Linked DNA regions of Macaca mulatta. The protein of the gene in region 1 purifies or fractionates together with the protein of each later gene. This does not show direct contact. Links are inferred from orthologs where the notes say so. Each region holds a gene or a part of one and is shown in the gene's direction. Other genes may lie near its edges. The genes, in order: LZTR1 and RIT1.

What was found.
Region 2: the proteins of LZTR1 (region 1) and RIT1 purify together in Homo sapiens (affinity purification with mass spectrometry; 3 studies listed by BioGRID and IntAct, counting the BioPlex papers as one, with this or other methods). This does not show direct contact. The link is inferred for Macaca mulatta from reciprocal best matches to the Homo sapiens genes LZTR1 and RIT1.

The regions. Positions count from the first base shown.
Region 1 is NC_133415.1:31,844,611-31,848,420, forward strand, and holds part of LZTR1 (leucine-zipper-like transcriptional regulator 1), read left to right. Parts: coding exon 1-137; intron 138-858; coding exon 859-985; intron 986-1,075; coding exon 1,076-1,225; intron 1,226-1,834; coding exon 1,835-1,940; intron 1,941-2,024; coding exon 2,025-2,149; intron 2,150-2,272; coding exon 2,273-2,402; coding exon of another isoform or gene 2,403-2,488; 3' UTR 2,489-3,810. UniProt on the Homo sapiens protein: Substrate-specific adapter of a BCR (BTB-CUL3-RBX1) E3 ubiquitin-protein ligase complex that mediates ubiquitination of Ras (K-Ras/KRAS, N-Ras/NRAS and H-Ras/HRAS).
Region 2 is NC_133406.1:111,056,242-111,060,051, forward strand, and holds part of RIT1 (GTP-binding protein Rit1), read left to right. Parts: intron 1-364; coding exon 365-438; intron 439-666; coding exon 667-858; intron 859-3,810.

The DNA.
Region 1 (3,810 bases):
GGTGAAGGAGTCCCACTTCAACCAGGTGATCATGATGAAGGAGTTCGAGCGCCTCTCCTCGCCGCTGATCGTGGAGATTGTGCGGCGGAAGCAGCAGCCACCCCCTCGCACTCCCTCGGACCAGCCAGTGGACATTGGTAGGGAGCCCCGTTCCCCTTCCCTCGGGGCTGGGAGGGATGGTGTTCATCTGTGGCAGGAGACTTGGGAGCCATGGAGAGCACCTGCCAGGCCCTCGGGGTGGGGGTGGGTGCCATGGGACCCCAGAGTGCTCTCCTGGGTACAGGGCAGAAACAGATGGAGGCAGAAGCCCCCAACCCATGGGGCTTGCCACAGTGGGCTGTGTCCTGGTGAGCTGGGATTTCCTGAGCCAATTTCTGGGGGTGGACATGGGTACCTCTTTTGGGCTGGGATGTCAGGTCTGATGGCCCAGGGTCACAGTGATCAGTCACTGGACTTCTCTTTGCTTATAATGTCACAGGCCCCTTCATTCCCCCAGCTCTCCTTGGGGGTCGTGCTGACCCCAGTTGCTGGCTCTTGGTGACATCTGCCGGCACCAGAGGCCATGCAGTGGGCCTGGAGGGGCTTGATCATGAGGGCAGCGAAGGGGGCACAGCAGGCTGGGTGGAAGATGAGACGCTGGGTGGTGGGCTGTGTGTTCGGCATAGTGCTCGAGTTGGCCAGGGCGCTGAGGGAGGACAGAATGTGGCTGATGGTGCCTCAGGGCCAGAGTGAAGCCTTCTGCCTGGGTGAAGTTTTGTTCAGAGCGGCAACATGGGCAGATGTGCAGGAAGATAGTGCCATGGCGCCCCAAGGCCAGAATCCCAGGCTGTACCTGCTCAGGGTCCCTCCCACCCCCAGGCACATCTCTGATCCAGGACATGAAGGCATACCTGGAGGGGGCGGGCGCAGAGTTCTGTGACATCACGCTGTTGCTGGATGGGCACCCACGGCCAGCCCACAAGGCTATCCTGGCAGCCCGCTCCAGGTGGGTGGGGGCTGGACGGGAGGGAAGGGTGGGCCTGGATGGTGTCTTCGTTCTGCTGACAGCCGGGTGCCTGCCGCTCATTGTCTACAGCTACTTTGAAGCCATGTTCCGGTCCTTCATGCCCGAGGACGGGCAGGTGAACATCTCCATCGGGGAGATGGTGCCCAGCAGGCAGGCCTTTGAGTCCATGCTGCGCTACATCTACTACGGCGAGGTCAACATGCCGCCTGAGGACTCGCTGCATCCTCACTCCCCAAGGAACTCCCAGGTCCCCACCAAGGGGTCCTGGCACCCACCTCGAGTGGCTTTGAGGCCCGCTTTCCTGCCCCAGCTAGGCGATCTGGGCCCAGCGCCTCCCTCCAGAGGATTTGCTGGTGCCTGGAGCTGGGCCAGGTGCTCTCCAAAGCAGCTGGCAGCTGGCAGGGAGGGGTTTGCAGCCAGGAGGAACCAGTGGGTTCCTGACCCTCACAACTGCCCAGAGGATGGGGTGGGTCATTGTTTTGTGTGACAGTTGAGCACAGACATGGAACTACTCCTCTTATGTCACTTCAGTAGGGGTCCAAACATGGAGGGTCACGATGCCTGTTAGGCTTGCAAGGCCATGGAATTGCGCTGCAGATGTACAGACAGTATTTTTCTGGGGAGGGGATTCATGGTATTTGGATCCTCAGTGGGGCCTTTGACCCACTGAGTAGTTCAGAATCCATTTAGAGAGCATGCTGGCGTGTGGGCTGGATTGGAGTCTGGCCCCTGGTGGGCTTGGGGCTCCACCTGCGCCCCTCCCTGTCCTTCCCTGGGAGGGTGTGGGCGGACCAGGTTCCTTTGGTCAGCTCCTTAACCAGGCCCCAGCTACTTGTTTGCGGCCCCCTACTACTACGGCTTCTACAACAACCGGCTGCAGGCGTACTGCAAACAGAACCTGGAGATGAATGTGACGGTGCAGAACGTACTGCAGGTAGCCCCCCAGCCCTGTGCCCACGGCTGCAGCTCCCACTGAGTGGGTGAAAGGGGCAGCGCCTCAAGGTCCCTGCCATTACAGATCCTGGAGGCAGCCGACAAAACGCAGGCGCTGGACATGAAGCGGCACTGCCTGCACATCATCGTGCACCAGTTCACCAAGGTCAGGGCTCTGGCCTCCCCTTCAGGACTTGCTTCCCCTCAGCAGTGGGCACGCCCAGGCAGGGAGGGGTGCCCAGGCTCTGTGGTCCCCTGCAGTGGTGGGTCCTGGGGGGTGAGCGAGCAGAGCAGCCCACCACTGGCTGCACCTTGCTTCATCCTTGGGACTAGCCTGAGCCCCGAGCAGCGTGGGCCCCAGAGGGCTCCACTGCCCACCATGGCCCTTATGTGGATCTGGTCCCATCTCCTTCCGGCCTGCTTGCCTTGCAGGTCTCCAAGCTGCCCACGCTGCGGTCGCTGAGCCAACAGCTGCTGCTGGACATCATAGACTCCCTGGCCTCCCATATCTCAGACAAGCAGTGTGCAGAGCTGGGCGCCGACATCTGAGGCCCTGTGGCGCCTGCCCATTGTGAAGAATTGCCGTGCCTGCCTGCCCTGCCCACTGAGAAGACTACTGGCTATGCGTCTGCCTATGGCAGAGTGGGTGCACCTGCCAGGCCGAGAGTCGGGGTGCCCAGAGCCTCCAAAGAGAGCTGAGGGGATGTGGGGCCCCAATCTCCTCAATTCACTGAAGACACAGGTCCCACAGAGAGCAGATGATAGCAGATGATGAAGCAGACCCCCTCCCCTGTCATCACCCTCTCCTGATGTGATGTGGATGTGAGGCCACGGCTCAGTAATGGGCTCACCACCTGGAAGTGGGGAGAGACCTTGGGCCTCCCACCCAGTGGTGCTTGGCCTGGCTCCTATGGCCTGGGTGTGTTGTAGACCCAGGCACTGGGGCCTGTCACCAAGGCTCCTCCAACATGCGGGAGGCTTAGCAGACTTGCGCTGCACCATGGAATCTGCCTGGGCTGCTCCTGTCCCGCCCACCCTCACTGAGATCCATGTAAGGGGCTCCTTTTCCCACCCGGAACTTGTGAGTGTGGACCCATGATGTGTGGGTCTCACCTGACTTGAGGTGAATTTTGGAGTAAGGGCCCTGAGGTCAGCTCCCAGGTCAGTCGTGCTGGGCCAGGCCTGGTTTTCACAGGGGCTGAAGGATCCCAGTCCACCTGTGTGCATGTCAGGGCTCAGCCGGGACGAAGCCAGCCAATCCTGCATGTCCCTTGCTGAGTATTCTGTCACAGACAAGCCTCCATTAAAGCCACAGCAGTGCTACCTACCACACACACCTTGCTGGCCCAGCCAACACTGCTGGCCTCAGCCCCTCGGCCCTCCTGCAGCCGAGGACTGGCTCTGGAGCCCATGGCTTAGCAGATCCCCAGATGTAGGTCAGTTGGTCTTACCTGTCTCTATCCATGCTGTCAACTGCCCCCACCTGGGGTCACCCAGTCACACTAGGGAGAAGGGCTATGAAGGCATCCAGGCTGGCCCCTCCCAGGGGAATCCTGGAGGCCTGGGGTGGGCTCCTGCCCCTTCTGCCCTGCCTTGCCCCTGCACTGTGGTCTTGGCTCCTGTGGAAGGCAGGCTGCCCTCTCGCCCTAGTGAGGGCCCCATGTGAATCCACTCTGATGCTGGGGAACCAGTGCTCCCTTATTGGGAAGAGGATTCCAGGACCCCTTTTTTGTCGTGGCTGCCATGAAGCCACAACTCACCTTAGGGAAGTGACCTGCTCTCCTCTGGCTGTATGCAGGTGGAAGGGGGCCTTGAGTGGCAAGTTGCTAACAGGAACAGATCCATAGGCAGCCTGCAGGCTAGGAAGTGGC
Region 2 (3,810 bases), on another chromosome or scaffold:
GCTGGTCTTGAACTCCTGGGCTCAAATAATACTCCTGTCTCAGCCTCCCAAGTACCTGGGATTATAGGCAGTCACCACTGTGTCCAGCTGGCCTGAGAAAGACATCTTCTCAGAATCCTTTTTTAGCTTAGAATTGTAGGCGAAATCTTCAGCTATGAATAAACTACATCATCACCTATGTGGAAAAGAAAAAACTTCAGTTGAAGATTCAGTTTATGTATCTCAGTGGATTTAGCATGCTTCCTGAGCAAATGTGGGCATTTAACGAATTTGGATGCAATGTACTACTCTGTAAGATGAGTTTTAAATAGGCATTTCTTCCTGCATTTATGACTTTATAGTACACCTTTCTTCCCTCCTGTAGAAGATGCTTATAAGATCAGGATCCGTATTGATGATGAGCCTGCCAATCTGGACATTTTGGATACAGCTGGACAGGTATTAAATCCCAGAATGTTATGAGTAAAGGCTTTTTTACTCTAGTAAAGGGGAGGGGAAGGCCTACGCAGAGAAGATCACTAGTTTATCTCTCTTAATTTTTCATGCACTCTGACTCAGGATAGCAGGTAATGGACATACATTTTCTTTAATCTGAAAGAAATAGCTAATTATGTGTGTAGTAGCGCTAGAATGCGTCAATACATAATGATCCTTGTTTCCCTCTAGGCAGAGTTTACAGCCATGCGGGACCAGTATATGAGGGCGGGAGAAGGGTTTATCATCTGTTACTCTATCACGGATCGTCGAAGTTTCCATGAAGTTCGTGAGTTTAAACAGCTTATTTATCGAGTTCGACGTACTGATGATACACCTGTGGTTCTTGTGGGAAACAAGTCAGACCTCAAACAGCTAAGACAGGTGAGGATAGAGAAGAAAATAGTGTCTATAATCTTACACAATCAGTCATTTTTGTTTCTTGGCTTACAGATTCTTGACTTGGCTTACAGATTTTTTTGCCTTAAAATAGAAAATCAGGCTGGGTGAGGTGGCTCACGCCAGCACTTTGTGGGGCCAACGTGGGCAGATTGCTTAAGGTCAGGAGTTTGAGACCAGCCTGAGCAACATGGCGAAACCCCATCTCTACAAAAAATACTAAAAAACATAGCTGGGCATAGTGGTGCATGCACATGTGGTCCCAGCTGGTTGGGAGGCTGCGGTGGGAGGATCCCTTGACCTGGGGTGGTGGAGGTTGCAGTGAGGTTGAGGCTACAGCTCACTGCAGCCTCTATCTTCCCGCTCAAGTGATCTTCCCAATTCAGCTTTGAGGGTAGCTGGGACCATAGGTGTGTGCCACTACTCCCTGCTAATTGTTTTTACTTTTTGTGGAGACAGGCTCTCACTGTGTTGCCCAGGCTGATCTTGAACACCTGGACTCAAGTGATCTTCCTGCCTTGGCCTCCCAAAGTGTTGGGATTACAAGTATGAGCCACCACACCTGGCTGGAAGTAGTTTGATAGTTGTCAAATTCATAATGCTTCTCTGTTAATCTCCATTGGAAAACAGTCTTAGCAATTTGTATATAACATGTTCATTGCAAGTCTATTTATGGTAGCAGAAACAGTCTAACCATCCAAAAGTAGAAATTATGGCATATCCTTAACTAGATGTATGAATTATGGGCTCCTAATAGTTTTCAGTATTTTAGTGTAAGCGTATATCTCTTTCCCTTCCTTTGTGTTTCTTTTTCTTTTTTTTTTTGAGACGGAGTCTCACTCTGTTGACCAGGCTGGAGTGGTGCAGTGGCGCAATCTCGGCTCACTGCAACCTCCTCCTCCTTCTGGGTTCAAGCGAGTCTTCTGCCTTAGCCTCCTTAGTAGCTGGGATTACAGGTGCATGCCACCATGCCTGGCTAATTTTTGTATTTTTTTTTTTTTTTTTGAGACGGAGTCTCACTGTGTCTCCCAGGCTGGAGTGCAGTGGCGTGATCTCGGCTCACTGCAAGCTCCGCCTCCCGGGTTCACGCCATTCTCCCGCCTCAGCCTCCCAGTAGCTGAGACTACAGGCGCCCGCCACCACGCCCGGCTAGTTTTTTGTATTTTTAGTAGAGACGGGGTTTCACCATGTTAGCCAGGATAGTCTCGATCTCCTGACCTCGTGATCCACCCGCCTCGGCCTCCCAAAGTGCTGGGATTACAGGCTTGAGCCACCGCGCCCAGCCAATTTTTGTATTTTTAAGTAGAGACGAGGTTTCACCATGTTGGTCAGGCTGGTCTCAAACTCTTGACCTCATGATCTGCCCACCTTGGTCTCCCAAAGTGCTGGGATTACAGGTATGAGCCACTGTGCCCAGCTTTCTTTCTTTTTTTTTTTTTTTAATTTTTATTTTAATTTTGTTGTTTTGAGATGGAGTCTCACTCTGTTGCCCAGGCTGGAGTGCAGTGGCGCAATCTAGGCTCACTGCAGCCTCTCTGACTCCTGAGTTCAAGTGATTCTCCTGCTTCAGCCTCCTGAGTAGCTAGGATTACATGCACCCTGCCACCACATCCAGCTAATTTTTGTATTTTAGTAGAGATGGGGTTTCAACATGTTGGCCAGGCTAGTCTTGAAATCCTGACATTACGTGATCCACCCACCTTGGCCTCCCAAAGTGCTGGGATTATAGATGTGAGCCACCGTGCCCAGTGTTTTTTTGTTTTGTTTTGTTTTGTTTTTTAGACAGAGTTTCACTCTTATCACCCAGGCTGAAGTGCAGTGGCATGATGTTGGCTCACTGCAACTTCTGCTTCCTGGGTTCAAGTGATTCTCCTGCCTCAGCCTCCCAATTAGCTGGGATTGCAGGCACCTGCCACCACACCCAACTAAGTTTTCTATTTTAGTAGAGATGGGGTTTCACCATATTGGCCATACTGGTCTTGAACTCCTGACCTCAGGTCATCTGCCTGCCTGTCTCAGCCTCCCAAAGTGCTGGGATTACAAGCGTGTGTGACCACACCCAACTTTTTTTTTCTTGAGACAGGGTCTTGCTCTGTCACTGAGGCTGGAGTGCAGTGGCGCAAACACAACTCACTGCAGCCTTGCCTTGACCTCCTGGGCTCAAGCAATCCTCTTACCTCAGCCTCCTGAGTAGCTGGGACCACAGGTGTATACCACTACATCCAACTAATTGTTTTTTCCTTTTTTTTTTGAGACGGAGTCTGGTTCTGTTGCCCAGGCTGGAGTGCAGTGGCGCAATCTCAGCTCACTGCAAGCTCCGCCTCCCAGGTTTAAGCGATTCTCCTGCCTCAGCCTCATGAGTAACTAGGATTACAGGTGCCCAACACCATGCCCAGCTAATTTTTTTTTTAGTGGAGACAGGGTTTTGCCATGTTGACCAGGCTAGTCTCGAACCCCAGACCTCAAGTGATCCACCTGCCTCAGCCTCCCAAGGTGTTGAGATTACAGGCGTGAGCTGCTGCACCCAGCCCCAGCAAAATTTTTAAAAATTTTGTAGAAACAGGGTCTCACCATATTGCCCAGGTTGGTCTCAAGCTCCTGGGCTCAAGCAATCCTCCCACCTCAGCCTCCCAAAGTTCTGGAATTACAGGTGTGAGCCACCAAGTCCCGCCTCTTTATCTTTCTTAAAATAAAAAGTATGGGGAAAACTAAGGTTGTGTGTTTGATATCTATAACTATTCCCTGTTCCAAAAAGTATCTTAAAAATAGACTACACTTTGGGAGGCCGAGACGGGCGGATCACGAGGTCAGGAGATCGAGACCATCCTGGCTAACACGGTGAAACCCCGTCTCTACTAAAAAATACAAAAAACTAGCCAGGCGAGGTGGCGGGTGCCTGTAGTCCCAGCTACTTGGGAGGCTGAGGCAGGAGAATGG